Caenorhabditis elegans: one gene and its partners. The protein of the gene in region 4 interacts with the protein of the main gene of each other region in a pairwise test. Each region holds a gene or a part of one and is shown on either strand. Other genes may lie near its edges.

Region 1 (7,004 bases), 3.0 Mb from region 4:
ATTTCCCGCCGACCGCGTGCTGCAAGTGTGCTCTAATGAGAAAACTGCTTATTTATTGATCTGGTTGGCGGAAAATTTGAATTTGTCAGTGAAACAGCTTTAAAATCCTTCAGAAAATTCGAAAAATTGCAAAATTATCCGTGGAGCGCAGTTGCACCATGCGGTCGGCTGCAAATTCAAATTTTTGGAAAAAATTTTAATTTTCAAAATTTCAAAATTTCCCAAATAAGTTTTCCAGAAAACTAAGGGGACATGTGCCATGAACTCAAATTTTATTTGTAGTTTGTAATCTAGCAGACTACAAACTACAAACTACAAACTACATACCATTATCAGGTGTTTCTATAACTGGATACCCAATTGCAATGGAGTCCTCGTCGATTAGCTCCCTCAAAATTGGAATTTTCCCGCCGCCGATGACGTCATAATTATACAACACATTGCATGTCTTGAACACAATATCCTCGAGATCCGGTGCTGACCAACACTTTTCTGGAAATTTTTTTTTAACTTCAAACTTTTTTATTTCAAAAAATTCAAAATTTCTGGATTTTCCGCTGATTTTCGAGCATTTTCACTATAAAATTCGTTTTCAGCGCCATTTTTTACTCTTACCCCAACTTTTTTACGCAATTGTAGAAAACTGTGCATTTTCTCGTGAGGGGCTCGGTGTTTGCGTACTTTTCGAGCTACAGTAACCCAAAATGGTCAAAATTGAGCAGAGAACACGGGGGAAAATGGTGCTAGAGTGAAAAAATTCGAGGAATCTGAATTTTCACTTAATAATTTGATTTTGTGCAAAACAATTGGATAAAATTTTTTTTGAAAAACAACTTTTAAAATTTTCTTCAAATTTTTATATTTTCTGCCGATTTTAAAACATTTTCACTATTAAATTCGTTTCCAGCACCATTTTTCACCCCTACCCCAACTTTTTTACGCAATTCCAGAAAACTGTGCATTTTCGCGTGAGGGGCTCGGTGTTTGCGTACTTGCGTACTATTGGGGCTACAGTACCCCAAAATGATCAAAATTTAGCAGGAAACACCAGGAAAAATGGGTCTAGGGTGAAAAAATGCGAGGAATCTGAATTTTAACGTCAAAATTTGATTTCGTTTGAAATTTTTGGGAAAAAATTCGATTTTTTTTCTTTTTTTTTTTTGATATTTCAAAACATTTTTTCACAACCAATTTTTGTAGTTTATAGTAAAGCCTAGACTACAAACTACAGTAAACAAACTAACGATTCATTGGAGAAACACCGCGAAATGTTTCATCGAAGAAGTTGGGCGGCGAGGACCAACATCCGGACGGGCGGTTTAGAATACGATCCTCATCATCTTCAGAATCCTTATCATGGAGGTTCAGTGATAGATCAGAGTCACATAGGCTCGGGGAGTACCTGGAAATTTGAGTTTAGAGTATGCTGGACTTTGGCAGACCAATACTGAACCAAATTTTCCAAATTTTCACAAAATCTAGATATTTTCAACATTTTTCATATCAAAATTCACGCTCAGCGTCATTTTTTACCCCTAAACCCGCCTTTTCAGCCGATTTTAAGATTTTCTGCAATTTGTCGTAAGATGCTGGGTGTTTGCGCACTTTTCAAGCTACAGTAACCTCAAATTTTCAAATTTTACGCTAGGACTCCAAAAAAAAGTATTCTAGAAGTGAAAAATGGTGAGGAATTCGAATTTTTATGTTTCAAAGGGGGAAAATTTGGATTAACAGGGAAAATGTTCCTTTTTTGCGATATAAAAATGATTTTTCAACAATTTTCATGCCAAAACTCAATATCAGCATGATTTTCTACCCATATCTCTACTTTTTCAGCAAAATCGGAGTTTTTCTGTGCATTTTTGCGTCACGCTCACGGTGTTTGCGGACTTTTGGGGCTACCGTACCCCAAAAGTCTCAAAATTAACGATAGAGACCCAGAAAAAACGGGTAACATGTGAAAAACGATGGAGAATTCGAATTTTCACCTCATAATATTGGATTTCCGCCGCTTTGACTTCAAATTTTCATTTTCTTCCTCAGGGTCCGGCCATTTTTCATCAAGTGTCGGAAGTAGGTCGGCTACTGAGTATTCTGCTTCTTCCGCTATGCTTTTACTCGTTGATTCCATCATTTTTGATAAGGAAATCTGAAAAATGGTGTTCTGGTCTGCTAGACTACAAACTACAAACTATAAACTATAAATTGTAAAATATATACAAAAAATTTAAATTTGGCAGATCAAATCATTTTGAAACTGGCAAATATTGGTCTGACGGACTACAAACTATAAACTACAAACTACAAACTACAAACTACAAGTTATAAACTACAAACTATAAACTACAAACTACAAACTAGAAACTACAAACTACAAACTACAAACTACAAACTACAAACTACAACTATAAATCTCTGACTTCAAAATAGCAGATCTAGCCAAACAAAACTATTAACCTACATATGACAGACTCAATCAATTTTAAACTTGCAAATTTTGGCCTGATGGACTATACACTACAGACTACAAACTACAAACTACAAACTACGAATTATAAACTACAAACCATAAACTACAAACTATAAATTACCAACTTCGAAATAACAGATCTAACCACACAAAACTATGAACCTGCAAATGGCAGACTCAATCAATTTTAAACTAAAAAACATTGGTCTGACGGACTACAAACTATAAACTACAAACTACAAAAACTACAAAGACTACAAACTACATCTTCACCACCACCTCCTCATCCAGCTCACCTCAAAGCTTGTTTTGCTCGGCTTAATTCTGTTATTTTTCATCGCTGCCGCCGCTGCAACGTCATCAGAGTTACGGGGAACTGCGTAAGCGGATTTCGATTTAATAATACTCCGAAGACACGGATGAACCAGAAATTCGGCGTCAGAATCCTCTTCTGAATCGTCATCACCTCCAGAGGAATTGTCGTTGTGCAGCCAGTCGGCTGAGTAGGACTGGAAAAAAATTCAGGAAATTTGGAGGTTTTAGAGGCTTCTTTTTGGTTTTTCGATATGAAAATCGAGTTCCCGACATTTTTTACCCTGGAAACTTTTTTTTTTCGAGCTTCTAGCTCATTTTTGAAATTTTTTGGGTTACTGTAGCTCCAGAAGTACGCAAACACTGCACCTTACGACAAAATGCAGAATGCTTTGAAATTGACTTAAAATGGTGTTTGAGGGGTAAAAAATTGTGTTGAAAATGAAATTCGGTGTGAAAAATTCCAAAAATGAGTTGCGTTTTTTTGCCGAGAAAATTTTTTACTGGAAAATTTGTAGAAATTTGAAATTTTTCACAATTTTTATTAAGAAATTCGGATTCTCCGTAATTTTTCACCCTTAATAAGTTTTTCTCTAAACTTCTGGCTCAATTTTAAGTTTTTTGGAATTACTGTAGCCTCAAAAGTACGCAAACACAAATCGATGCACCATACCTTACGACAAAATGCACAGAAAATTAAAATTGGCTGAAAAAGCTGGGAATGGGGTAGAAAGTGGCGCTGAATTTGAATTTTGATATGAAAATTTTTAAAAGTTGCTGGTTTTCGAGAAAAATTTCGAGTTTTGAAAAAAAAAAAATTTTTAATTTTTTTGTTGCTTTTTGCAAAAAAACCGGTTTAGGAGCAAAAAAACGCTGCTGAATTTGATTTTTATAGTTAAAACCTTTAAAAATCAACGGTTTTCCTGAAAAAACCTACCCTCCGAATAACCGTCGGACACTCGTCATCATCCTCGTCCTCCGTGTTCTCCTCAATCGGAAAATCATCGCATTTTCGACATTCAAATGCGCTCATTTTGTGCTGAAATTTTTAAGACTTAAAATTTCAAGTAGTGGAAAAGAAGTTTTGGAGCAAAAAAAAAAAAAGAAAAAAGGAAAAATAAAAGTGAATCTCTGTTCCAGACATGCGCGCTGGAAAAAATGATGAATGGAGTGGATGAGAGAGTGAAGAGAGTGCAGAGAAAATTGCGTTGAAAAACAACTCAAAAAAGGGGATCATGGAAAAAATATTCAGAAAATTTTCAAAACTTTTGTTCTTGAAAAATTCCAAAAAAAAATTTTTTTTCACCGAAATTCCAAAAATAATTTTTTTTTCCAAAATTTAACTTCTCAACAATTTTTTCGTCAAATTTTACAGCCGAAGCCTTTTTTACCGAGTTTCTAGATCAATTTTCGAGTATTGCGGGGGTACTGTAGGTTCAAAAGTACGCGAACACCGGACCTTGCGACAAAATGCACAGAAACTCAAAATTGCCGGAAAAGACGTGGTAGGGGTAAAATCAAGACCTGAATTTGAATTTTTAGATGAAAAATTGAGAAAGTGAAAAATGAAAAATAAAGAAAATAAGTTTGGAAAAAAAATTTTCTAAAATTTTTTTTTCCCGAAATTCCAAAAAAACTTTTTTAAATCAAAATTGAAGTTCCCTACGAATTTTTTGTCAAATTTTCCAGCCAAAGTCTTGTTTCCGAGTCTCTAGCTCAATTTTTAAGTCTTGCGGGGTACGGTAACACAGAATCTCAAAAATGTCGGAAACAGGTGTGGTATGGATAAAATAAGGTGCTGAGTTTGAATTTTAACATGAAAATCAGGAAAAATCTTGATAAAATAAAGATTTTCGAGAAAAAAACATTTTGCCAAAAACTCAACTTTTCGGGGGTACGGTAACCCCAAAAGTACGCAAACACCGGACCTTACGACAGAATGCACAGAAACCGAAAGTTGTCGGAAAAGGATGGATTAGGGGTAAAATTAGGTGCTGAGTTCGAATTTTAGCATGAAAAATTGATGAAAATTGAATAAATAAAGATTTTCGGGAAAAATTGCTAAAAAAAATTTTTTTTTGCGATGTTTTTTTCTGGCTTATAATTTTCACCAATGTTATTGGCTATATCATATCACGAGTTTTGACATGTTATCTCAATTTCCTCCCCCCCCTTTCTTCACTCCATTTCCCTCATCGAGAGAGCACACACATTTTCCAATAAATTCCGCGCATTTCCTGCTCTCTGAGGGTAGCGTCTTCTTCACACTAATCTCCCGACGAGATAGTATGTGAAAGTGAGAGACGCAGAGAAAATGAGAGCAAAAAAAAGATGTAGTAATGAGTGGGAATAGATTAAGGGGTACCCCCTGAAAGAGGGGGGGGGGGGGGGGTGGGGAGGTGCAGGTTTTTTTCGAAAAACCAAAAAAATTTCTCAAAATCCAACGATTTTCATAATTTTTCACATTGAAATTCGATCTCAGCACCTCATTTCACCCCTAGAACACTTTTTTCAGAGGATTTTGAGATTCTGTGCATTTTCGCGTAAGGTGTGCGGTGTTTGCGGACTTTTGGGGCTACAGTACCCCCCAAAAGACAAATTTGAGCAGGAAACATAAGAAAAATGTTAGAAATTTAATATATAGCCCTATAATTTATTTCCAGGCGAATATATCTTCCGAAAAAGAAATTTTGAAAGAAAAAACTAAAAAAATTGAATTTTCAATGTTTTCAGGTATTTTTTGATAATTTTAACTGTCAAATTCAAGTTCAGCGCCTCATTTCACCCCTGGGACTGTTTTTTCCGATGATTTTGAGATTCTGTGCATTTTCGCGTGAGAGACTCGGTGTTTGCGTACTTTTGGCGCTACAGTAACCCAAAAACGTCAAAATTGTGCAGAAAACGCGGGAAAAATTGTTCAAATTCTCGAAAAACGGGAAATTTGGAAAAACAATTGCAATTTTTTTCGGAAATTTTCAAATTTGAGCAAGAAGCTTAGGTCTGCTAGTTCTAAATCTGTAGTTTGTAGTCTGGCAGACCAAAAAAAAAATGTTGGAATAGATTAAGGAGCACATGAAGACGCCGAATTTTTTCATTTTCTTCTTCTTCTCGATCTTCTTTTTTATAGATAGAATGCATGCCAAAATGAATTCAGGAATTACAGAATTTCTAATGAATACGTGGATATGGGGCATAAAACGATGACGTGGCAAAATGTAGTTTGTAGTTTACAGCGGAATTTTAGAAAAAACGTATACTTTTTAAAATTGATAACTAGAAACTAAAAAATGACTTGAATTCTATGAATTTTAGCAATTTTTCATTATGAAATTCAAACTCAGGGCCTTTTTTTACCCCCTGGTCCATCTTTTTCAGACAATTTTAAGTTTCTGTGCATTTTGTCGTAAGATGCTCGGTGTTTGCGTACTTGTGGCGCTACAGTACCCCGGAAATTTGAAAATTGAGTCAGAACTTTTTAATTATCGCTAAAAAACGAGACAAAGTGTAGTTTTAAGTAAAAAAAAAATCGAAAAATCGAAAAAAAATGGGTCTGCTAAACAAATTTTCGTAGTTTGTAGCCTAGCAGACCCAAAACACAAAACCCTCCTCATAAATTTATTTAAACATTAATATTAATAGTCTACATAAATTTCCTATTCTCTAGAATTGAAAATTAGTATGTATTTAAGGAGACACAGAAAAAAATGACGTGGCAGCACTACGACACTCCGATATCCCGGTAGATCAAATTAGGTCAGACAAGAGAAGAAGCTTCGGGTGGGGGGCACTGAATTGCACGGAATTCAATTAGGAAAAGGAAGGGGAAATTGGAGAAAAAATACAACTTTTCGCGGGGTCTTCAAGATTTTGGTCTGCTAAATACAAAATGTAGTTTGTAGTCTAGCAGACCAATTTGGGGGGCCCATTTCGAAGCTCTAATTTTCGCAAAATGTTGACAAAAACTGAATATTTGAAAAATTATCTGTTACACAGCAGCACAATTCATTCAAAACATGATAAAACTTTCAAAAATCGGCCAAAACTCACGTCAGCTTGGGTCTAATTCTTTTGTGTAGTTTGTAGTCTAGCAGACCAATTTAAGGGAAAAACCATTTTTGAGCATTTTTTTTAAAAATAAAATGAATTGTACTTCTCTTCTGCTGTAAACAGTGTCTTGAGAGCTAAAAACTGAAAAAAAAATCCCTAAATTCAGTCAATTTTT
Region 2 (7,885 bases), 6.3 Mb from region 4:
CAAAATGGACAATGTACCTTCCAACTTGTGGTTCCCAAGGTGACACATTTTCAATACATTTTCACATAGTACTGAAATTCTCAAATTGAAATCGTTCAGGAAGTGGCTCAAGCTATCGATGAACAAACCCTGAACAATGAAGTTGCAACTATTGCTTCAAGTCTCTCAAAATTGGATTCCACAATTTTGAAATTTAATGACACCGGTGCATGTGCCTTCACAAAAGTAAATTTGTGCCAATTAAGCTTTTCTAGACTATTGAGCAATTGATTTCAGGGTTTTAATGCGAACTTCACAGTGGTCAATGCAACTGGTCAGAGCTTGAATGATAATGTTCAAGTTGCTAGTAATAATGCATCAGGTAAATAGGCAGGAAGTCTGTACTGTAGTTTAAAAGTTTTAAGTTAATGCATATATTTTTGGAGTTCGTAAATTTTTCTGACCAGGTGTGCTCTTAAATTCAATTCTCACATTTGAAATTTCCCGTATTCCATTTTATTTCCAGACCTACTTACCGCATCAGCAAACGCCAACACAACCGCCACATTGCTTTACAACTCAATTTCTTGCTTCCAACAAAATGTAAACTCCAGCTACACATGCTTCTCACCTCCAAGCACTATTGCTCCGTCTACCATTGCTCCATCCACAACTGCCAGCGATGTCTCCACTGTAAACCCTGTGACTGACAACGGAAGTACCGTGTCTCAAGGAACTCAGCCGACTGGTGGAAGTACTGCTGCTCCAGTGAGTACTGATGCACCAGGTTCTACTGTCTCTGGAGCAACCGATGCATCCGTTGCATCCACAGCTGGTGGAGATACTACTGCAAGTGGAGCTTCTGTGGTATCAACCGCTGCTTCTTCCGAGGCCTCTACCGCCGCACCTGAAGCTTCTTCCGCTGCCGCTACTGTAATCAGCGGCAAGCCAGTTTAGGAACTCTTAGATTTCTCAGAACCACATCCTGATCGTCAGCTCGCAGAATTTCATGATGTAATAAAACCCCTTAATGGAATAAATTCGATGAGGCTGTGATTCTGAAAAATCGCCCAATTTTATTCATTATTGCGAATAAACATATTTCATTTCAAATCCATTTTTTGAGAGGGTACAGTGTGAAAATTTACAACTGAAAAATGGCCATTGCTCAGTTTTACCACTCCTATGTTTGGGAGTCGACTCTAAATTATTCAAATATTAAACAAAAAAACCAAAAATTTCAAAACCAAAAATTTCAAAACTTGAAATTTACTGAAACAATGACTGAAACATTTCTATGCTTAGATGCTAGATGAGTAGAACTTATTACACAGTTAAATTTTTTATTGAGCTTAATTTTATCTCCATAAATTAGTCAATAGAATGATTGCCTAAAAGATCCAATGAATAATCGATAATATTGATTGGTTTGCATTGTTGATCTGCGATGAACTGCTTGAAAAGTCCCTTATTCAATGCATCCACAAATCGTTGCATAGTCTGAAATGTTACAATAATCGAAGCCTGATTTTGAAACGAGCTCCAAGAGCAGCAGCTCTACCTGTTGCCTAATCGAAAGAGTAAGATCATCTTTGACATCATACGAAATCATTCGAATCCCATGAATAAAAAACGCGGTGTGTAGAAAAGTTTGGAAGAACTCGGCAGTTTGTTCAGCTTCGTTTTTCTTGGCGAGCACTTTCTTTTTGGTTTTCCAAATTTTCAGCATTATATCCATAATGTCATGCTGGTCACAAACAAATGGGAATACAGAGAGAAGTGGGTCAGATATAAATTCTGAAATTAGTTCAAAATATTGTTTGGGTGGGTATGAAATCCTACCAGCACTCAATGGATTCCGATTGTCCCGAATTAAAATGGTTCCAGCTCGTCGGCGGTAAAAGTGGAAGAATGGTAAATAAAGAGCATTGAATACTATGACATCGGGGAGGGAGCTGGAAAAATAATTTGGGTTGAACTTAAAGTCAGGTCAGGGATCCAGATTTTCAGCTTTCTTAGTTTCCAAAACTCACTCCACATATGAAACCTTATCCTTGGGAACATCCATCACTTGAACCAGAACTCTTCTTTTCGAAGCTTCCGGCAACTTCATTTTTGTCATCACTTCATCATCCAAATACAAAACATTCGTTCTACTTGGCACTGCTTTATCATCAATTATCAGTCGCAGATATGTATGTCCCAAACTCTTTTCCTCAATTCCTATTTGTGTCTTCACCAAATGAGATGCTTCCACAACAAGTACCACTGTCGGAGATCGATAGTTTGAGCGGAGAACAAAATCAGAAAACTCGATGCAGCTTCTCGTCTGGCTCTCTTTTTTCTCAAAGTACCACGTTGAAGATTTGACACGTGGCACAAGAGTGTGCACGTTGCTCACAATTTGAGTGGATTTTGGATTTGTGATGTCGACAAGAGCCATTCTGACAAGTGCCTTGTGTTCGATTAGGGGCATCTTTTCAAATCGAACTAGACGGATAATTTTTGATATATGGACAGTTCGCTTGTAAACCTGCAAAAAATATAGTTGATTTATGAAAGTGAGCAAAAAATGTGTTGCTATGAGTAGCAAATGATTCATAGTAAAAATTTTTAAAGCAATTTTCTCAGCCGTTTTTAGGAAGACTCAGAGGTTTTTTGGCAAAACTGTAGCATTTTTTGGGTAGAAACTGCAAGTTTTAAACTTTTACCTGATCCTTGTAATGACTCCAAAAAAGATCATGAAATCCAATATTTGAAGTTGATAGTCTCGGAGCCATATGGCACACTAGTGACAAGTGAGTGTCATTGTCATATGCTTTACCAAGACAGTCATCAACTCGAGATGCCTGCCGGTTTGCTTCTCGTCTTGATGGATCAGTAGTCGTAGATATTCCGATCACCGAATCTCGAACTCCGAGGCGACTAGACACTTTTGATGGCTGAAAATTTCTACTTATTAAACTAACGATACTAGAGAAAAGTAACAAACCACATTCTTCGGCTTTTCCTTAACATGTTGTAAATAAGTCTTTGGCACAAGACCCCTCTGACCATATTCATCCAGTGCAGTCCACCAACCATCGGATCTTGTCTGTGTGATTCGATACTTCTTTCCTTTGATTAACTCCAAATCCCCTTCAGCTTCTGCATCCCAACTGTCAATTGCAACAAAAACATTGCCACGGACTACAACTGGTTCCATAACTTCTCCAGAATCTCCACGACTCGGATTCTGAAGCCTTGAGATGACTTCATCAAGTTCTTGACGTTCATTCAAAGTCTTTGATTCAAGAGGTTTTGTAATTGTGATAGGTTGTCTGGGTTTTGGTTGAGGTTGCTGGTGCTGTTGCTGTGGAGGCTGTGGCTGACTCGGAAGAGGATCATCCAGCTGAACATCCGTCTCAATAATTTCTGAATCATTATCAGAATCTTCTGATTCATCATCGTTATACATTGTGCTTTTTCGGCGGCCAATTGCAGCCATTTTCGGTTTTTCTTCTTCTGATTGAGAGTCCACACTGGAATTGAATATTTAACTATTTATTAGAGAAATTGAATTTAATTATAATTTTACCTGACAGAAAACGATAATTGCTCCTTTTCCGGGCTCAAAGCTGTCAATCTTTGCTTCAACTTGTCAAGTTGCTCTAGAGCGTTTTCTTTCTTGTAGGTCTCGTCAGTTTTGGCCTTTTCAATTCGATTTCGGTGATCGTCGAGCTGCAAACTGTATGCATATGTTGATATCCTTGAATGATACTTCTACGTAGGCACGAGAATGCCTACCTACCAGAGTGCCTACGGTCTACACATATGCCTAACAATTTTTCAATGTTTGTAAACAATTAATTGAAATTAAATAGAAAGTTGGTCGACCTAAAATCTATGAATCAAACCGGAGATCCCATAATGGGCGGTAGGTAGGCCCGTAGGCAGCCAGGCATAAGGCAGATAGAGAAAATGCAATTTTTACCTGTCTATGCAATTCCTGGCACTGTCTGACAAAATGTTTGCGAAAACTTGCTCTCGACGCGGCTTCGGTGTCTTTTTGCTCTTTTTCGAGGCGATTTATCTGAAAAAAAGGCTTTTGCTATTTTTCCTTGAAAATACGGTTTACGGTCTAGACACGACAATTTTTGTCGAATGCGAAAAGTTGTGTGCCTTTAAAGAGTACTGTAATTCCAAACTTTCGTTGCAGAGGAATTTTTTAGTTTTTTAATAGTTTTTAGATGAAAATATGTACATTAAATTTAAAAAAAATTCTGGAATTTTGAATTACAGTACTCTTTAAAGACGCACACCTTTCCGCATTTAACAAAAATCTGTTGTGACGAGACTCAGTTTTAATTATACGTTTGAAATTTAATTAAAACGTTGAAAATGCGCCCCACTGCAACTTTTTGGGTATTGAAGGGATTTTTTTAGTTGGAAATGAACAATAAACCACGAATTCAATTTTTAGTTATTTAATAATGTGTAATGGAAAAATTAAAAAATTCACAATAATAATTTTTAAATAAATTACAAAAAAATCCAAAAATTGAAAAAAATCGAATTCCTTTTCAAATTCGTGTTAACAATTAATATTCCCCACCTGATATTCAAACTGCGGAAATCGATTTATGGCATCCTGCAGACTTAGAATGCTTCCAAATATGGACATCCTGCTTTCCTCTCCCCCTGGAAAGCTCTTTTCCGCGCGGCCACTTGCCTTAAGCCACCCTCGTTGCCCCTGGCAACTTGCGGGTTACCACCTGCCAGCTCCCCGCAAATGTGGTTAAAAACTGGTGAACTGATGGTTTATTAGTAAGGAAATCGAGAGAGAGCAGATAAATATGCAATTTTGTGGGGTCACTCGGTCAGTTAATTACGGGGGAAGAAGCTTCAACATTGAGAGAACGACACTTGGAATGAATGAATTAAAAACGGACTGTACAAAGAACACGCGGGATGATTTGGGATATATCTTAAAACTATATGGAATCACTAATTAAAAAATGAAATAAAATAAATTATGATTGAATATTAATTTGTTCGATGACATCATATACAGAAGTCTGAAGTCCCCAGTACGTCCTGCACAAGTCGTAGAGTCCCGTTTTCAACCCATTTGTGACGTAGGCAATTGTCACTCGATTCTTGAGATCTGTGATGACCATTTGGCATCCGTGCCCGGTATGTCCGAAGCCGAATTGAGTCTGAAAATATGGCGAATTATGAAAGAAAAATATTAAAAAAATTCACTGAAAATTAAATAAAAAAACGCTCCTAACATTTTGCAGGTTCTTTAGCTAAATTTAGGGTTTTAAATATTTTTTCTATGCATTTTCATTTTTTGAATGAATTCGAAATTAATGGTTTTTCAACAATTTCTCCTGTTTTTTCGTTTTCTGTTCACCACCTGGGCTCTTTTTTTTTGGTCCTTTGCTAATTTTTTGGGGGTTTCAAAATTTTTTTTTTTTTGCTTTTTTCGGCAGTTGTAATTTTATTACAAAAATGGATTTTTCAGTCTTTTTTAATGCAAAAATTAATTTTTGGCTGTTTATGTTTTATGTTTATTTATTTAATTTATTTTTAATTTTGTTAATTTTTGTTATTTTTGTTAATTTTTGTTAATTTTTGTTAATTTATGTTTATTTAGCAAAAAGGTACTTTTCGGGTTTTTTTGAGAAAAATTGATTTTTTTGAATTTTTTATGGGAAAAAGGACAGTGGTTTTTTTTTTCGCAAAAATGGATTTTTTAAAAGTTTTTTTTGGCAAAAATTAAAAAATCTGCTTTATTGGATGAATTTTGACTTTTTCGTTCTTTAAGAGTTTTTTCAGACTTTTGTTGGTTTTTTTGGTTTTTTTATTGTGAAAATGGATTTTTTAAAATTTTTCAGTTCAAAATTTCCATCATCCCTCGTCCCTCTTTCGATTATTCAAAATCTCACCCCAGCTCTATGAATGGGCAAATGGAAAAATCCGTGTCCCTTGGCGACAGTATCATCAAAAATGAAATCACTCTCGTTGACGAACGGTTTGCTTATCGTGTTCAGTGTAGCCTGATTGAGAAGTTTTCCTCGATTTACCTGAAACAATCCTCTTAACTATCGTTTTTGTTTCAGTTTTTTTAAACAGTCACAAGGAAATTTCCTTTTTCTTTTTTTTTGTTCGACTTAAAAATTTCTTTTCTTCGCTATCAGCCTAGTTTCAGCTGATAACGATGTTCAAACAAAACGAAAAAAAACTTAAAATTCTCATAAATTTATCAAAAAAACGAGAACAAACCTTGTCAAAAAGTGAGGCAAGAGAACGAGCATTTCCCATTCCAAGTGCGGCAGCTTGCTCCAATCTGGAAAAAAAACATGAATTTTAAAAAATGAAATAGCATAAAATATTGGTCAGATGCGAGATTTTGTCTCAAAACTATGACAATAGGTCTCGAAGCGACTTTTAAGGAGTACGGCAGTTTCTGAATTCTCATTTTAAAACATTTCATTTATTTTTTTATACTTTCACATGCAACATCGTAAAAAATCCAAAAAGAAGCGAGGATTTGGAAACTACAGTAATCCTTAAATTTTGGCATTGGAGAAAATCGGCCGCTTCGAGACCTGGTAGTGTATTTTTTGGGGGAAAATAGCAAAGTTTCGGATCTGGGTAACAGAATTTTTTGCGTAAATATACAAAAATTTGCTCGAAACTACCGAATTTCATAATGCGACATTACACAAAAAAAGCCAAAACTTTTATGGAGTGTAAATATTTTAAAACTTCGAAAAAAGAACCGAATTTTGCTGAAATCTGAATTTTAGCCAATAGTTTTTAATGAAATATAGCGGAATTGAAAATGTTTCGTTTTTTTTTTTTTTTTTCCGTTTTTTCCGATTCGATTTTACGAAAAATATCTTAAAATGCTGGTTATTTGTATTTGTTTAAGAATAAATTTATATGTTTCCTCATGTATTTTCCATCAAATTTGACTTTTTTTAACGTGAATTTTATGATTAATTTTCTGAACACATTTTTTTCGATTTTCCGGGCAATTCTCGTACCGATGATAATCTGGATTATTGATCGTACATCTGGAGACTGCTTCAAGCCATGATGGATTTTTGACAATGTGTGAGAGTGGATGATCCTGAAAAATGACATGAATATATATTACGGGAGCACTAAATTCTGAGGCTGCGTACTGCATAACATATTTGACGCGCAAAATACCTCGTAGCGAAAACTATCTTAAAAAGACTACTGTAGCGATTTTTGAAAGTTTTTTTTTGTTGTAATTTTTGTGTTGTATTGCAATATTTTATCGATTTACCAATAATTTATGAAGAAATAAATCAACTACAGTAGTAATTCAAAAAGTTACTGTAGTTTTCGCTACGAGATATTTTGTGCGTCAGATATAAATAGTGTTCCTGTATATTTTTTATAATTACTTTTCCGCATTTGAAACTATTTTCTATTTAAATAAACAACAAAAGTTCATTCTATAGAATATATTTCCATGTTTCGTGTCTTCAATTCCCAAATCATATGATTGGTACATGATAAGCGGTGCTGCAGTATACCGGTACTAGAACAATCGGAAACACACAAAAACTGAAACTATTTGCAATTTCACTTGATTGTTGTGGACTCCCGGTTAAGTACCGGAACACTCTGATAATTTCATTCATTTCATTGACAAAAAAACCATACCGTCATCAATTTGAACAATGATTTCATGTACTTGACAACACGGACATCCGTCCACATCTCATCAAGACGATTGAGCATATTTGGTGTACTGATACGGGCGACACGATGTTGTTCTGAGACTGGGAGGCCAATGTGATAGTCCACATCTGGAAATAGGAGGTTTTGAATTATTTTTTAGTTTTGAAAAAAAAATTATTATTCAAAGATAAGTTGAGAG
Region 3 (7,401 bases), on a different chromosome or scaffold from region 4:
CGTACCGAAAGATCAAAATTAACAGGACAGTTTAGTGGGCATGCCAATCGAGTTGTTGAGTTCACAGCTAATGTGTTCCAGTTGGTTTGTGGCATTGGTTCACGTCGGCATCTGGAAAACTTTTAGTAGGTTTGGAATTCACCACAGGGACAGAAAGTGCATTAATCTGAAAATAAAATTTTTCCCGGATTCCTGGATTTCGCATCGCATCGCATCGGCGGGTTTAATTTTAAAGTTTGACTATTTTATGCAAGGATCGGCTTTAATATATTCAAAAATTTTTGAAACGGTTTTGCAGCTGCTCAAAAATTTGAATTTGAGAAAATGGGACCATGACGAAAGAACAACAAGATTGGGTGGTAAAATTGAAATGCAAATTAGCAGAGTAGATATTGAATGTGAAGTTAAACTATGGAAAAATTTGTTAAGTTTTTCATTTACAGTCAAAGGTGGCAACTCAGTCTTCGCCAATCATAAATTAAAAAGCCGATTAAAAAATTAACTTTTTCATATAAAATTTGTATTTTAATTATGTTCAAGATATTTATATTTAAGCATTTGGTGCGAAAATGCGAAAAAAGTTTCAAAATTGCCAAATTTTCAAGAAAATTGAAAATTTGGCAATTTACCAAAACTTTTTATTTACTAAAGTAAGTAAGTAAGTAAATAAATTATCAAAACTTTGTTTTGATACATTTTTAATTAATTTGAAAATTTTTGTATTATTTTATTATCCTCCCACTTGAATTTAAACTCACTTAAATTTGGTGATGTCAAATGGAATTCTTGAGTTTGGTGCGAGAAGAACACAGTCATCTTTCTTTCCACTGCTCACACAATCAATTGTTCTTGGTTCTACAAAGCAATTATTTCAGATTTCTCTACCGTTCATATACTTACCCCATCGATTCCAAAGGAAATCGTCTGGTTTCTGTGTTTCCACTTGTTGTCCAACGACAACTGAAGAGCTAATAAGTAATACTAGAAGAAGTTTCATGATCTCTAAGATTCAGTCAATGGACACTCCTTTTATACTAATCAAAGTTTAGCCCAGTGTTTCTTTTGAAAACGGGTTTTTGTGTACATATTAGGCAGATTGTATATTAAGCAGACGACCCAAAAATTTCACTTTATCTAGAAAAACATCTCACCATTTATTATATATTCATAAATAGAAAGAAAGATCGTCTCACCCATTTCAACAATTTTCAAATTGTTTCTTTTAAAAAAATATTGCAAATTCAACAACAGAAAATACAACAATAAACGGATGTGGCTTAATATAATCACAGAAATTTGCCAATGAAAAACCGCAATGAATAACGATGGTGTCAATATAAACCCGATAAAAAGTACAAAAACTAGATTGATAAACATGAATAAAGAGCTAAAAGGGAAGTATACGGAAAATAAAAATAAAAATAAAATATATCCTAATCTAAAAGAGCTTCGAATTTAAATTTTCTCCAATCATTCACCACTTTATATGATGGGAATACTCCTTCCTTATACGTTTGTCGATTTGTTCCTTTAGAATATCCATTCCAATGATTTCCAGCAATTCCAACTTTATCACCAACTTTCAAATCGATTTCTTTATTGTTCTGAGCAATATGATCTTCGATAACAATTACTTCATGAGCTGAAATTATGAAAACTAAGATACTTTTGTTTCAGTAACTATTATATGCATACCTTGTTGACCTCCAAAATAGTATATATCGTCAAGTGAATGGAACTTTGATCCATCGTCAGCTCCTGATGGTTGTCGTAACTCGTAGCCCATTCGGCATACCTGAAAGTTTGTTTTGTGGACTTTTACATAGGATTAGTGAGAATCATCAAAACTCTGAGTTTGTCAAAAGTATATGAGTGTCTATTTGCTTTACTATGTACAATACTAGTGAACAAAACTTCCTGCTAATTATATGTAGCTACGAAACTGCCTGGCTCTTTTTGGGTGTATTTCCAATTTTTAAACCAGAATAACTCCGAGACTGACATAGTTAGAAAATATTACAACCTAACGAAATGTGGAGTTCAAATTATTTAACATTCTCCGTTTTATGGGTCCGGTTTTGATCAAAATTTGTACATGGACTATAACTTGAAAGCTGAACATTTTATTATAGTACACACTAATAACCCGTTTATCCAATTATTTTTTTCAGATAAAAAATTTCTCACCTGACTTGAAAAAGTGCAAACCAAATAATTGACTTTACTGAGTATATAAATATCAGTGATGACTCCCATCAATGAAGCATCTGTATATCGATTATTCAACTGAGCTGTCTTTGCAATTTCAGTGCTTCCATAAACTTCATAATTCGGATAGTCATTTTTGGCTTCTGGTACTACAGTTGGATCATCTGATGCAATGAAAATTCGCCTTTCCAATGGTTTTCCTTGTCGCTTTTCCTCAACTTTAAACCAAATTTCAGTCCATTCCATATATTCCTTCAATGCATGGAATGCTGCTTCCGTGCCAACTTTATCAGTTCTTCGGATCTGCAGTCCAACAATTGGTCCTTTATCAAGTGGAATTGACTTGAGAGCTTTATCGAGCTTCTCTTGAGTTGCAGAGTTAAAACGCATCAGGTAGGAAATGAACTGAAAATTGTTGAAAGTTTTAGATATAATATAAAAATATTAATCTACCGTTCCAACAAAGAATGCAGGTGGATGTGAGTGGAGTGATGTTAGACTTTCGAGAAGTTGTTCGGGTACTGCTTGGGGTAGGAATGTGGGTCTGTAACAAGGCGAATGTAACTTAAAAGTTTGCAAAGACATTATTGGTTTTGGTATTGGTATTTGTAGTTGTTCAAGTTCAAACTAACTTTGTGATCAGTGAGTCCACAATTCCGAGGGAAACCACTCTTGCTGGTGATGGCTCAGCAAACGGTTTAGCTTCCGTGTTCTGCAAGAAAAAATTTCATTTTTTGTTTGAAAATTTCCCAAGGGAGATTTCAAAACATACATACCCCAACTGCTTCATCAAATGAGCATTTTGAAAGTTTTTTAAAGACAGAAGTCCATCCATGAGATGAGTATCTGGAAATGGTTTAGCGTTGAAATTTTAGACACAAGGTGACAAGAGCTCACTTCCACGAAGATCCGTCTCTTTTCAAGACCATCATCCGTTGAGTAGCAAATGCGGTAATTGCACAATAGGTAACATGATGAAGTTGACACCCAAATCCACATTCCTTATCAAGATTGCACACCAGGGTTTTGGCTTCTGAGCATGCTTTTGGGTTTTGAAGTTTTTCAATTGATTTGAATATTCGTTGAGTTATTGCTGTTCTTTGTTTGAATCGTTCTTCTTCGGAACCCTCGAGTTTTTCAAGTTGAGCAGAAAGTCCCATTAGTGAGATCATTTGGGTTTCAAGGAGTATCTTTGTTGAGTTTTCAATTGTTTGACTATGTAAAAGATAGAACATTTCCCGAATTCTGTCGTCGAGCATTCTCTTTTGAACTTCTTGTTGGACAGGTCCAAGTATGCTTGGTTTTGAAATAATTTCTTTGACTGGTTCAGGTTTTGGAAGTGATGGGTTCTCAGGATTTGGTGGGAGTTGATGAGATTGTTCCATGCTGGAATTATATATATATATATATATATGCATTTTTCTGAAACTTTTTACTTTTTACTGAAAGCATTTTTAGAACATCTCAGACTTATTTCTTGAAAAAACTAGTTTTAAAATAGTTCCCTTTTTCGACTTTTCAGTTTTTAATTTTTTTTTCCAATCCATAACTGGAAAAATAAAATTTTTCACTTTTAGTTTGAATTGAACAATTTTTCACTTTTTAAGCATATCTATTCTTTCAAATGGGCTTCAATTTTCGTATTTCAAACTAGATTTTTTTGACGATGACAAATTTTGAGAAGCTCATTTAAGACTTCTAAGCTCCTAATAAAAATAGTACAGTCATATATACAAATCTCGAAGCAATTCTAAGAGAATTTCCTATCATTTTAGCGACAATCCTTTTTTTATTTCTTTGAAACGAAAGATTATTTTTGTTTTTAGTGTGACTTGACATCAGATTTTAATTCCAAGTAGTCAGAATTTCAAACATAAAAGCTCACATCTTTTTGTGTTGATCATTTCGTTCTTGTCTTTCTTTTTCCAGAATGCTCTTCAAATCCTCATTTTGCTCTTGAAGCTTGTCAATGGCTTCTTTTGTCTGCCTCCAGGCTCGAATTGAATCACCGCCTGAAACTAAAAATTCAGTACAGAATACAAATTTCACCGTATTTCCTCTATTAGTTTTTATTTGAACTAACCTGATTGATTATTTGATAATTGTGAATAAAGAAATAAAAACATAGTCATCCATACAACTGTTCCCACTGCCGCAATACATTTTAACATTTCGGAGCGGGCAGGGATGCTCCTGAAATTTTTTGTTTTAAAATAAAAGTAAACTTGTACTGTAAGAACTAACATATTATTAAGTCGAGTAAGGACCACAGGATAACAACAAAAGGAAACTGGGGAGGAATAACTTATGTGGCGTGTCGAATTGTGTGAGCGACAGACTGTGAGTTATTTTTTGGAATTAAGATTTTGAAAAATAATTGAGAAAGAAAGGCGGAGCAATCGAATTCAAGGACTTCCAAATTTTTTGTGAAGACTCGAAAAATGATGAAGAGTAGTGGGAAGAAGAGGAAGAAAAGTGGATTATGACACCTTGGACTCTTTCTCGTCAGTTTATGATATCCAATTTCAACGAGCTGTGAGGGGGTTTCACGTGTGATTAATAATTGATGAAGGACACACCTGTTGGAACTGGATTAAGAATTTAATTAAAAAGTGGAAAGCTTTTTGAGGTGCTTGTTGAGTTTGATAAGTTGTAAGAGAAGATGTAAAAAAATTCCAAAGAGGCTCCGCCTATATCTTGGTGTTTTTTAAGTTGAAGTTTTTTAAGTCTTTGAGTGAAAAATTCTGAAATTTCAGAAGTCTAAAATTTCTAAAAATTGCAAAAATATGTGCACATCGCTTTAGCAGAGTTGTTTCCATTTTTTTGATGTTATTAGTGCATCAAGGTCAGGTAAACTTTTTGGAGGGTTGTTTACCATATCTCATTACCAAAAAGCAACAAACATTTATTTTTTCGATTATAATCTAGAAGTATAATTTTTGTCAATTTGTGGGAATCTATAGGAACCACCGAACCTGGTGTGGAATTGCTGGGGTGTTGTCAACCTGGCAATATAATCTTGCAAAATACCTCCGAAATTTCAAAATTTTTGAGCAATGGTACATCAAAACTTTTTTGGTATTTTTTGAGCCAAACAGAAAATTGAAAACATCTAGTTTTTGATTAAGAACCACCATGGGATCCTTCTAAGGAGGTCATATTTGAAAAAAAAAACTTTGAAAATCAGAGAAACTCAGTATAAACACCTATTACTTCTTAGAGCATTTTAGGTTTTTCCTAGAAGGATTATTTTTGTTGGGAAGTTTTTTTTTTTTCAAATTTTGCAATAAAGTTTAATCTATATAAGAAAATGTCTAAAAAATCTGAAAAATTAATTTGAATGAATACTCGGACAGAAAGTAAACAAAGTGTGACGATTAAAAACAGTTGATGAAAATGAAAAGCAAACGGAAGACATGTGTTGAGTAGTTGTCCCCTAGACCCCCGCTTTGAATAAGTAATGAATGAAACCCGCTACGTTGGCTTCTCCCATCTCATCCCTCTTCTTCTATACACGCACACTCCACACTTTGCTCTCTTCTTCTTCTTCTTCTTGTTCAGTTTCTCTCGAAATCTGAATCGATAGAGTGTGACGGAGCACGAAGAGACGCAGACAATGTGGCTCTCAATATTTTTGGGAAAGAGAAAACGAGTCGGCGGTGAGGACCAGAGCATGACGAAAATTGACAGCGACTTTATGATACGTGGCGTGTGTGTGAAATGGGAAAATAGGAAGTGTGGCTCATTTTTCATCGTCATGTATGTATGCTAATCGAAATGTCGATGGAAACATTTATGAAAAGAGAGAAATAGAGGACACTGAACGTGGCAACAATAGGTATCATTTGCAAGAAGAGTACAAAACTTTATAGGTACTGATAAGGTTAATGTGCAATGAGCATTTGATGATTTGAAGGGCATATTAATATGCATCACAGTTTAGATCAAAGCAAATAAATATTTATGTTTCATGATTTATGAGAAGTTTTGAAATTGTACATATATGTAAATATGTACAATTAAAATGTTTTGTTTAAAAACTGAAAAATCATCAAATAGTTCTAGAACAATGAGTTGACATTGGAATTCTAAAAGCTATAATATTTCATAGATTTGAAAAGTAATGCTGTTTAAATAAATAAATTAAAAACCACAAAAAAAATAGTAATCAGTAAAAATTAACGAAAAGTTATTTTGAATTTTACTGGGAAAGAAATCTGAGAAAAATATATAATTTTTTCGTTTTGACTATTCCAAACCACGAATCGAAAAAAAATTAATAACATTCGTATCACCACTTTTTTTCAAAATCTGAAATTTTAGTTTCTACTTTATTTCTACTACGCGATTATTTTTGTTTTGAACTCTGGAAACTTATAATCCAATTTTTAAAACTTCCCTCTGATCGCTAAACATTTCTAAAGACTCCCACGGAGCTCAAAAGATAAAGAAGTTTGAGAAAGAGATTACTAAAGCTCTTTTAAAATTAATTTTTATTCGAATAAGTTTTTGATACTAAGCTTTCGGTAAGGCTTCATCGATACCAGATCGAAAAAAAAATGAAAAAAGATGGGAAAAGTGAGAAATTGGCATATTTAATATAAAGTGGTACTTGAAAGTGAAACCGAACATGGGAAAAGAAAAAAACTTGTGAAAAGGACACGGAAAAAAACAACAAAGAGTTTGGAGTTTCATTTTTGTTGTTTTTTAGTTATTTTTTTCAATTTTCTATCAAGAATTGAAGGAACAGCACAAAAATAATGCATGGTTGTGCGTCTGAAAACTAAACATATTGGAAAAGCGAAAAGCGATCACCAACAGTTTTTTTATTTTCTTTTGAGAGCAAGGCGACAGAAATGATAATACATAAAATACGATCGTTAAAAAAATACGACCTCTTGGAGAAAGTTGACAAGTTTCCTGACACATATATGTAGACAAATATAGAATTCTTATGAATTGAAAAGATTTAATTAGAAAAGTTGTTGACGGTGTTTTCTTTCTTTCTGGAAAAAAGGAAAGTATAGCAATTGATTGAGAAAGTATGAATTGAAAACATAGTCCAACGGAATTAGTGTCATAATTGGATGGTAATATGAATCAGAGATAGGCGGCGGATATGTTGCCAGATTGCTGGCTCTAATTAGAAGCAACGCTTTGGTTACAAAAAATGTTATTTAAACAATTAGATAG
Region 4 (7,469 bases):
CTTTTCGCGTTAAAAACATTTCCGGGTCGAGTTTTGGTGTGGTGCAAAAATTTGAGCCTGGGGAATAATTCCGTCTTATTTCCGTGAGAAATCCTTCGAAAATTAACGTTTTTGTCGAAAAAAACCGTGAATATCAAAGTGTGTTCGTGGCGAGACCCATCCGAATAAATCCATGCGGAAAATCGATTAATTCGAATTATCGATCGCATGAAAATAATTTTAAATTCAGAAAGAAAACTTTAAATTAAAATTAACCAAAGCCTATTTTCAGTCGGTGGAGTAGCTACCGAACGACGATTGCCTCAAACGCAGCAATTTCTTTCGCATTCCAACTTTCACTCCAACGCAACAATTATTGACGAGTCCCAGTTTCCATCACTGGGCGCGAAAGGTAAATTCACTGATTTTTTTTTATTAGCTTGAGAATATTCTTAAATCTATGAAAAACTCACTGTCGAACTCTCATTCTTATTGTTAAATGGAAAAAAATTAAAATTAAAATATTAAATTTGACCTGCTTGTGTGGAAGTCCACGGAAATGTTTTCCTTGAATCTTTCATCCTTTTTATCAATATTTAAAAAAAATTAGAACAATTATTTCATTTCTCAAGGCATTTCATCGATTTCTATTCAGGAACGTCCTCACTCGGCGGCGGCGGATTCTCCCCAATCCCAACAACGAGCGGAGGTGTTTTGAACGTTGCCCAGTCATCGCCGTCGAGAGATCTTTACGGCGCACAAAGACCCAATTATGGTAAATTTTACTTTTTTCTCTTTCTGTGTGATGAAAAGCATGAAGTATCAAAAATTAAAAAAAAAAGTACGATAGCTGGTTGTGAACCGCGAATATATATTTTTTTTTAAATCAATTTTTGTTTGCTCTTTGAAAATGCGCGCGCGCGAAATTCTGATTGAACATTTTAAAAATTACAATGCGTGTTTCATTCTGTTTTGAACGCAATTGTGCAATTTTTCGATGTTGGCAACTTCTTTCCGTGAGTTTTTAGGCAAAACGCAAATTTTCTGATAAAATTTACTCATTTTTACTGCAAAATTCCGATGAATTCGAGAAAAAACCGCCGAATTCTTTTGGAAAATTTTATTTTTTATTTAAGAAAAATCAATATTGAATGTGTGCAAAAGTCCGTGACGGTGGTTGCGTATTCCATGATCGACCGTACCCCGCAGAGATTTTTCGTTCAGAATTTCCATAAAAATTCTCCGAATTTTCGCAGTTTTTGTCGTGTTCCTGTGTTGTTAAACCATGCAAAAATTAATTTTCAGCTAACCTGATGAGATCGGACCCCAGTCTAACAAATCCCGAGTTCCAAATACAGAACGAGGATTTTCCCGCGCTTCCCGGCGTCGGTTCTGGTCAAACACAGCGATCAATGCTTGGAGATCAACTGGCTAACGTACTTAAATTTAATTTAATGTCAACAAAATTTCTGCGTCGATGACAATCAAATAATCGATAAATTATTGCAGATGTTAGCAGACGACCATCAAGTCGACTTTGCTGGACCCCTAGGCGATTGTGACCCCTCGCGGCTCAGCGGGATATCAAGAAATAGTCAAGAAGGACCTATGCATGGGATTATTACTCATCCTGATGGTGGGAATACTTTAAAAATAAGCATTTAAAATAATAATTGTTAATTTCAGGCGAAGTGACAAACATTCCAGCGTCAATGCTTGACGATCAGTTTGGGATGGCGGGTTTGGTGACATATCTTCGGACAGTTGACAATCCTTCCATTGTTTCACTGGCGTTAGGTTATGATCTTACGACGTTGGGCTTGAATTTGAATTTGTCAGAGTGAGTAGTGGCCTGAAAAGCCCGAAAAGCCCAGAAAAACTCTAATTTCCCTCTGTTTCAGACGAAAATTGTACATGAACTTTGGTGGTCCGTGGGCCGATTCGCCGATTCGAGCACACGAGCTCGACGTGAAGGTGCCCGAGGAGTACATGACGCATAATCATATTCGAGACAAACTTCCACCGCTGCGATTGAATAAAGTTTCAGAAGACGTGTTATTCTATCTTTTTTACAACTGTCCAAACGAGATTTATCAGGTGGCGGCGGCGTGCGAATTGTAAGTAAAGTTTATTCCAAAAACCTGCATCGACCATGACCGCGAGCGGAGCGTCGTGTTTAAAAAATTTATTTTAGTTTTTTTTTTTCCCCGAGAATTTGTGATTTTCATGAATTTACATATGAAACGCATAAAAAATTGGCCAAAATGATAGAAAATCACTCGTTCTGGGCGAAAAACTTTCAAGAAAATCCGCTTTTTCGTTAAGATCGCATAATTGTTCATCATTTTAGTTGATTCTTATTTCGCCTCATATATAAATTTATGAAAAATCATGTGAATCACGCGTTCTTAGCGAAAAGTTAAAATAAAAATTATTGAGCCGCTCCGTTTGCAGTTACGTCGCGGTCGAAGTTCACGAATCAAATTATTAATAATTTTAAAATTTTAGCTAGAAAATTGAAAAAAACATATATTTTATGTTAGCAATTGAGAAAATCTTTTTTATCACGAAACAATCATTATATTTTCAAATTTTTTGCAGGTACGCTCGCGAATGGCGATTTCACAAAAGCGAACAGGTGTGGTTGACGCGTTCTCAGTACGGTGGAGTGAAAGAACAGACGGGAAATTATGAAAAAGGGCATTACAACGTGTTCGATCAGATGCAATGGCGAAAAATTCCGAAAGAGTTAAAGTTGGAGTACAAAGAGCTCGAGGATCGGCCGAAAATGCCGCAATCAGTTTCCGGACAACCGACACCCTACAAATACTTTTTCCAAGGACCACAATTTCCGAGCGGTCCGGAGACGGGTCTGATGCTTCAGATGCATAACTTGACGCTCGGCACAGGTGGCGGCGGTGGCGGACAAATCACTCCACCGGCACCAGCGGGTCTTAACGGAGTTATGGGTGGTGGTGGTGTTGGAGCAGCTGGAATCGGAGGAATCAATGTGCAACCGGGAGCCGTTCCATCGGCGGCGCGAGCTACTCCAAACTAAACAAGAAGAAGATGATCTCTCGTGTGCAAATTTTCTATATCCCACTTTCGTCATCTTGTTCTCGAATTGCTCCCTTTCTCTCTCATTTTCCATCTCTTTTTCCCCTCTTTCTCTCCACATTTTCTCTCCCAATCTCCCATTTTTTTCCTTCGTTTTCCTTATTTTTCCTCTTTTCTCTACGTTTTCGTATAAACGATTATCGATATACACAAGTTGCTCTTTGAAAACCTGTGATTTTTCAAAGAAAGAGCTTCACAATGACTGGCGGCGGCGGTTTTCTCTGTATTTTCAGTGGCGCAACACCGAACTGATAAGACGGGGAAAAAGGCTGAAAACAAGATGTTTGTCGATGACAAACTCGCCTACAAGGGGGTTCTGATATCGTTCCGTGATAGCAACACAGTTTCATTCGATACTATTATTGTTTGTCATGTCGTCGTTGGCTGAAATCGCGTCGAGACCCGAAAACTTGGAGCTTCTTGCTGAAGGAAAAACCAAGCAAATCTTTGATATTAAAGGAGAAAAGGTTGGTTTTTTTCACTGAAAATTCAAAAAATTTGGGAAAACATTAATTTTCTACTAATTTTTTAATGCTTTATAGATTAAAATTTAGATATTTTAAAAGCGCCTTTTGAAATCGTGATGCAAACGCGCTCCGCGAGTAATCTGACAAGCTCCGCCCCAAAACGTTGGGTCTCGTTGGGAACGTGAATTTTTGACGATCTCACCCAATTTTTTTTGCATTTTTCAACATAAAAATCGTTAAAAACAACGAGAAATGATTGGAAAGTGCTGGAATCGGCAAAAAAGTAGGATTATACGGTTTTACCGCCAATACCTAACGAGACCCGGTTTTCAGTTATCCGTGGCGCGCTTTTGCAGCCCAAGTCACATTTTTATGCGTCTACATAATATTCAGAAAAGCGTGTCCTAGAAACACGAAAACTCGGCCAACCGAATTATCAGAAGAGATTTTTCAGAAGTATGCTCAAAATAATCTTTGAAAGAAATGTTCGGTTTTCACTGTCGGTGAGTGGCCGAGGTTTCACGTTTTCTAGGCCACGCCGCAAATAGCCAGCTTGTGGCCTAGGAAATGAGAAAACTCGGCCACTCTTTCAGCACATTTTTCAAATACACGTACGGAAAATTTCCTGTAAAAACGGTGTCTGAGCTTTCACGGAGCCTAGAAAAAACTCGGTCAATTTCGTAAATTTGAAATCTATTTGAATTTTTCCGTTTGGATTGCGATAATAATGTGCTTTTCAACAAAATTGAATCCAACTTTTTCAATTTCTGAACAAAATCTTTTCAGGATTATGTGCTCATTCGTTCCAAAGATAGCTTGACCGCATTCAACGCTGTCCGTAAAAATGAGCTTGAAGGAAAGTCTAGAATCGCAAGTAAAACCACATCAAACGTGTTTGAATATCTTCAACTTCTCGGTCTACCAACACACTTTGAAAAAAGCATCTCTGAAACTGAATTTGTCGCCCGTAAATGCACCATGATTCCGATTGAATGGGTGGCACGACGTGTTGCGACAGGATCCTTCTTGAAGAGAAATCCTGGAGTTAAAGAGGGTTTCAGATTTAATGATCTGAAATTGGAGACATTTTTCAAAGACGACGCTAATGATGATCCACAATGGACTGATGAACAAATTGTGTCGAATGGTTTGATGATTGATCATTTGAAAATTGGAAGAGAAGAGATTTCATTGATGAAGAAGATGACAAAGTTGGTGTTTAGAGCATTGGAGAAAGGATGGGCTCTTTCAAATAGTGCTCTGATTGATATGAAGGTGAGGGTGTTGCAAAGTTTTTATTATTCTCTTTTTTTTTATCGGTCTCAACTTTAAAAAGTAAACATAATAAAAAGTATGTAAGTTTAATGTTCGGTCTGCAATATATTCGTTTTGTAAATATTTACATTTTGAAAGGAAATCAGCACCATTTAAAACTGGGTGTTTTCTGTAACGTGTCGATTTACGCAGCTTGAGTACTTCACGAGGAGAAGTGTGTTTTTCTTTTCGCTGAATTTTACAATTGTCGGTTGTTGTAATTTTGAAATAATTTTGAAGAAAACCTGAAAATTCCAGATCGAATTCGGAGTCACAGTTGAAGGAGAAATTCTCCTGGCCGACGTGATTGACAATGACTCGTGGAGAGTTTGGCCTGAAAATGATAGACGTCTGCAGTTGGATAAGCAAGTTTACAGGGATATGAAGGAAGTGACAGAAGAGGGGTTGGCTCTCGTTTTGAAGAATTATACAAAGGTTAGTAGGCCGAAGCTTAGGCCTAAGCATATGCCTATGCCTGAGCCTAAACCAAAGACTAAGCCTAATCCTAAGTTTTAGCCTAAGCCCATGTCTAAGCATAAGCCTAAGCCTAAGCCTAAACCTAAATTCAATCATCCTATATATCAATTGTTAGATTTTTACGCGAATCAAACCTTTCGTGTAAGCACAATAACTTGCCTGCCTGCAAGGCGATCTGCACCTGATTTCTGCCAATATGCATACCTACAATTTTCGGTAGACACGTTGAGTAGGTAGGCAGGCACATAGACACGAAGGCGTATCTACCTACCAATAACATTTCCAGGTTATGGATATCACTGCCACCTTCTCAAAACACCAGCAAAAATGCCATGTTCTTGTGATCATGGGATCTGGTTCGGATGGCGTATTCGCACGGAAAATCTCTGATGAAGCCAAGAAATTTGGACTGGAAACTACGCTGAAAGTAAGCTCAGCTCATAAAACTACCTCGGACACTCTGGAAGTTATCGCTGATTTCGAAGAAAGTGGAGTTCCGACAGTTGTGATTGCAGTAGCTGGAAGATCCAATGGACTCGGTCCAGTTATTGCTGGAAACTCGTCTCTTCCGGTAGGACTTGAAAGATCAGATGATCTTTATTTCAAAGAATTCAGGTGATCAACTGCCCGCCACCAAGTGAATCAACGAGTCTTGACATTTGGTCATCACTCCGAATGCCGAATGGAATCGGGTGTACTACAGTGTTGGACCCATCGGAGGCCGCGCTTGCCGCCGCAAAAATCCTCGCGTCTCACAATCATATTGTGTTTGGAAAAGTGCTCACTGCACAGCTCAAGAATCAAATCAACATTTACGTAAGTGATAGAGATGTGAATTTCTAATTTTTGAACTTTCAGAACGCCAATCGCAAACTTGAATAGATGCAGGACTGAATTGAAATCAGATTTTTCAAAAACTTTCTTGTGTAAATTAACTAATTACTCAACGTTCACTTTTATTTCAGCATTCTTATATTAAAAACGAAATGAAATGTTTGAATCTTAAACTTTCAACTGCACATTCCACAGCACGTGCAGAAGAAATCCACGTGTGCCGAGACATCCACGAGAAGATCAGTCTCTTGAGTCAGCTGTCTCCGTTGCTGACGTTGACGATTATGGGTATCGTAGAGTTCTGGACAAGGCATTCCGGCTGACAAAACACCTACGAGAACTTGAACATTTCGAGTGTCCGATGTTCGGACAACTCCCGAGCCACTGTCACCCTGGAATCAGTGGAAACTATTAGGCATCTTGGGCAAGTAGGCATTGTTCTGCCTACTTCTGAAGAAACACTTTTAAACTTTAAAAACAAACATCACAAGACAATCCTCTATTCACTGCCGACGTACAATACACCCCGCCATATGGGAAATCGTCGGAGCACTCCGCAACAAACGAGTATAGCGATTTCAACTTTCCAGACTCCAAAACACTATCCGAAGCTGGAATTAAAAATTTCAAAAGATCACATAAAAATCGGAACTTACGATCTCTTCCATAACCAAAAAGCTTATATCCGGTTTCTCTGATCCTCGGGATCTTTGGAGCAGATGGAAGACAGGCTGGGAATATGTCTTTTGAGAATTCGATGGGTTCTTCCAATTCGAACACGGCGATGTCGTTGAATGATTCTCGATCAATGCAACCATCTCCGACATAGCCTTTTCGGATGTAGAGCTGTAAAGAAAATATGTGTTTAGTAAGACTAAGTGAGCCTACGTCTAAGCCTAAGCCTAAGCCTAGGTTTGCGTCTAAGACTAGGCCTACGCCTTAGCCTAAGAAAAAACCAAAGCCTACGCCTAAGCCTAATTGTAAGGGTAATCTACTCACCGACTTTATCGCCAGTGGCTTGAACATATCCTTCCTATGCAATCCCTTACACATCTCTGGAACCGCACATGTCACATTAACGAATGCCACGAAATTCTTATAGTCTCTCACGAAATACGCTTCTCTGAGATTTCCAGTATCACAGTCAGGCAGAGGATCCTCACTGATTCCGATCAAATGAGCAGCTGTTACAATATGCCATGGAGAGACTAATGTTCCGGTTCCATGCTGAACAAATTCATTTTCCGAAAACTTATTTCCGCCGTTTCTAAAAGATCCCGA

What was found.
Region 1: the proteins of paic-1 (region 4) and jip-1 interact in a two-hybrid assay, tested with the Caenorhabditis elegans proteins (one large-scale study listed by BioGRID).
Region 2: the proteins of paic-1 (region 4) and nphp-1 interact in a two-hybrid assay, tested with the Caenorhabditis elegans proteins (one large-scale study listed by BioGRID).
Region 3: the proteins of paic-1 (region 4) and fut-8 interact in a two-hybrid assay, tested with the Caenorhabditis elegans proteins (one large-scale study listed by BioGRID).

Annotation. Positions count from the first base shown.
Region 1 is NC_003280.10:1,323,812-1,330,815, reverse strand, and holds the start of jip-1 (PID domain-containing protein), read right to left. Parts: upstream 3,822-7,004; 5' UTR 3,816-3,821; coding exon 3,720-3,815; intron 2,980-3,719; coding exon 2,767-2,979; intron 2,150-2,766; coding exon 1,989-2,149; intron 1,403-1,988; coding exon 1,245-1,402; intron 493-1,244; coding exon 328-492; intron 1-327.
Region 2 is NC_003280.10:10,647,588-10,655,472, forward strand, and holds nphp-1 (Nephrocystin-1-like protein), read right to left. Parts: upstream 4,670-7,885; 5' UTR 4,643-4,669; coding exon 4,574-4,642; intron 4,052-4,573; coding exon 3,953-4,051; intron 3,700-3,952; coding exon 3,557-3,699; intron 3,501-3,556; coding exon 2,972-3,500; intron 2,922-2,971; coding exon 2,691-2,921; intron 2,513-2,690; coding exon 2,013-2,512; intron 1,935-2,012; coding exon 1,822-1,934; intron 1,777-1,821; coding exon 1,541-1,776; intron 1,480-1,540; coding exon 1,351-1,479; 3' UTR 1,306-1,350; downstream 1-1,305. Other genes in the region: M28.10 (Flo11 domain-containing protein), read left to right, coding at 1-39, 100-225, 277-361, 506-936; lact-3 (Beta-lactamase-related domain-containing protein), read right to left, coding at 4,992-5,177, 5,913-6,050, 6,250-6,313, 7,017-7,102, 7,669-7,814. UniProt on the Caenorhabditis elegans protein: Plays a role in the extension of dendrites from phasmid ciliated sensory neurons. May be necessary for initial assembly of the cilium.
Region 3 is NC_003283.11:5,985,852-5,993,252, forward strand, and holds fut-8 (Alpha-(1,6)-fucosyltransferase), read right to left. Parts: upstream 4,402-7,401; 5' UTR 4,380-4,401; coding exon 4,292-4,379; intron 4,221-4,291; coding exon 4,094-4,220; intron 3,595-4,093; coding exon 3,106-3,594; intron 3,055-3,105; coding exon 2,985-3,054; intron 2,921-2,984; coding exon 2,841-2,920; intron 2,753-2,840; coding exon 2,662-2,752; intron 2,614-2,661; coding exon 2,188-2,613; intron 1,796-2,187; coding exon 1,696-1,795; intron 1,643-1,695; coding exon 1,434-1,642; 3' UTR 1,220-1,433; downstream 1-1,219. Other genes in the region: C10F3.7 (DUF7808 domain-containing protein), read right to left, coding at 6-111, 759-855, 901-997. UniProt on the Caenorhabditis elegans protein: Catalyzes the addition of fucose in alpha 1-6 linkage to the first GlcNAc residue, next to the peptide chains in N-glycans. The addition is prevented if the GlcNAc residue is already fucosylated.
Region 4 is NC_003280.10:4,368,514-4,375,982, reverse strand, and holds paic-1 (Phosphoribosylaminoimidazole-succinocarboxamide synthase), read left to right. Parts: upstream 1-3,457; 5' UTR 3,458-3,467; coding exon 3,468-3,563; intron 3,564-4,075; exon of another isoform or gene 4,076-4,145; intron 4,146-4,349; coding exon 4,350-4,838; intron 4,839-5,135; coding exon 5,136-5,312; intron 5,313-5,640; coding exon 5,641-5,925; intron 5,926-5,969; coding exon 5,970-6,170; intron 6,171-6,212; coding exon 6,213-6,236; 3' UTR 6,237-6,358; downstream 6,359-7,469. Other genes in the region: ntl-2.1 (NOT2/NOT3/NOT5 C-terminal domain-containing protein), read left to right, coding at 272-391, 635-754, 1,285-1,415, 1,489-1,615, 1,666-1,819, 1,881-2,096, 2,581-3,037; try-9 (Peptidase S1 domain-containing protein), read right to left, coding at 6,365-6,580, 6,672-6,799, 6,845-7,034, 7,188-7,469.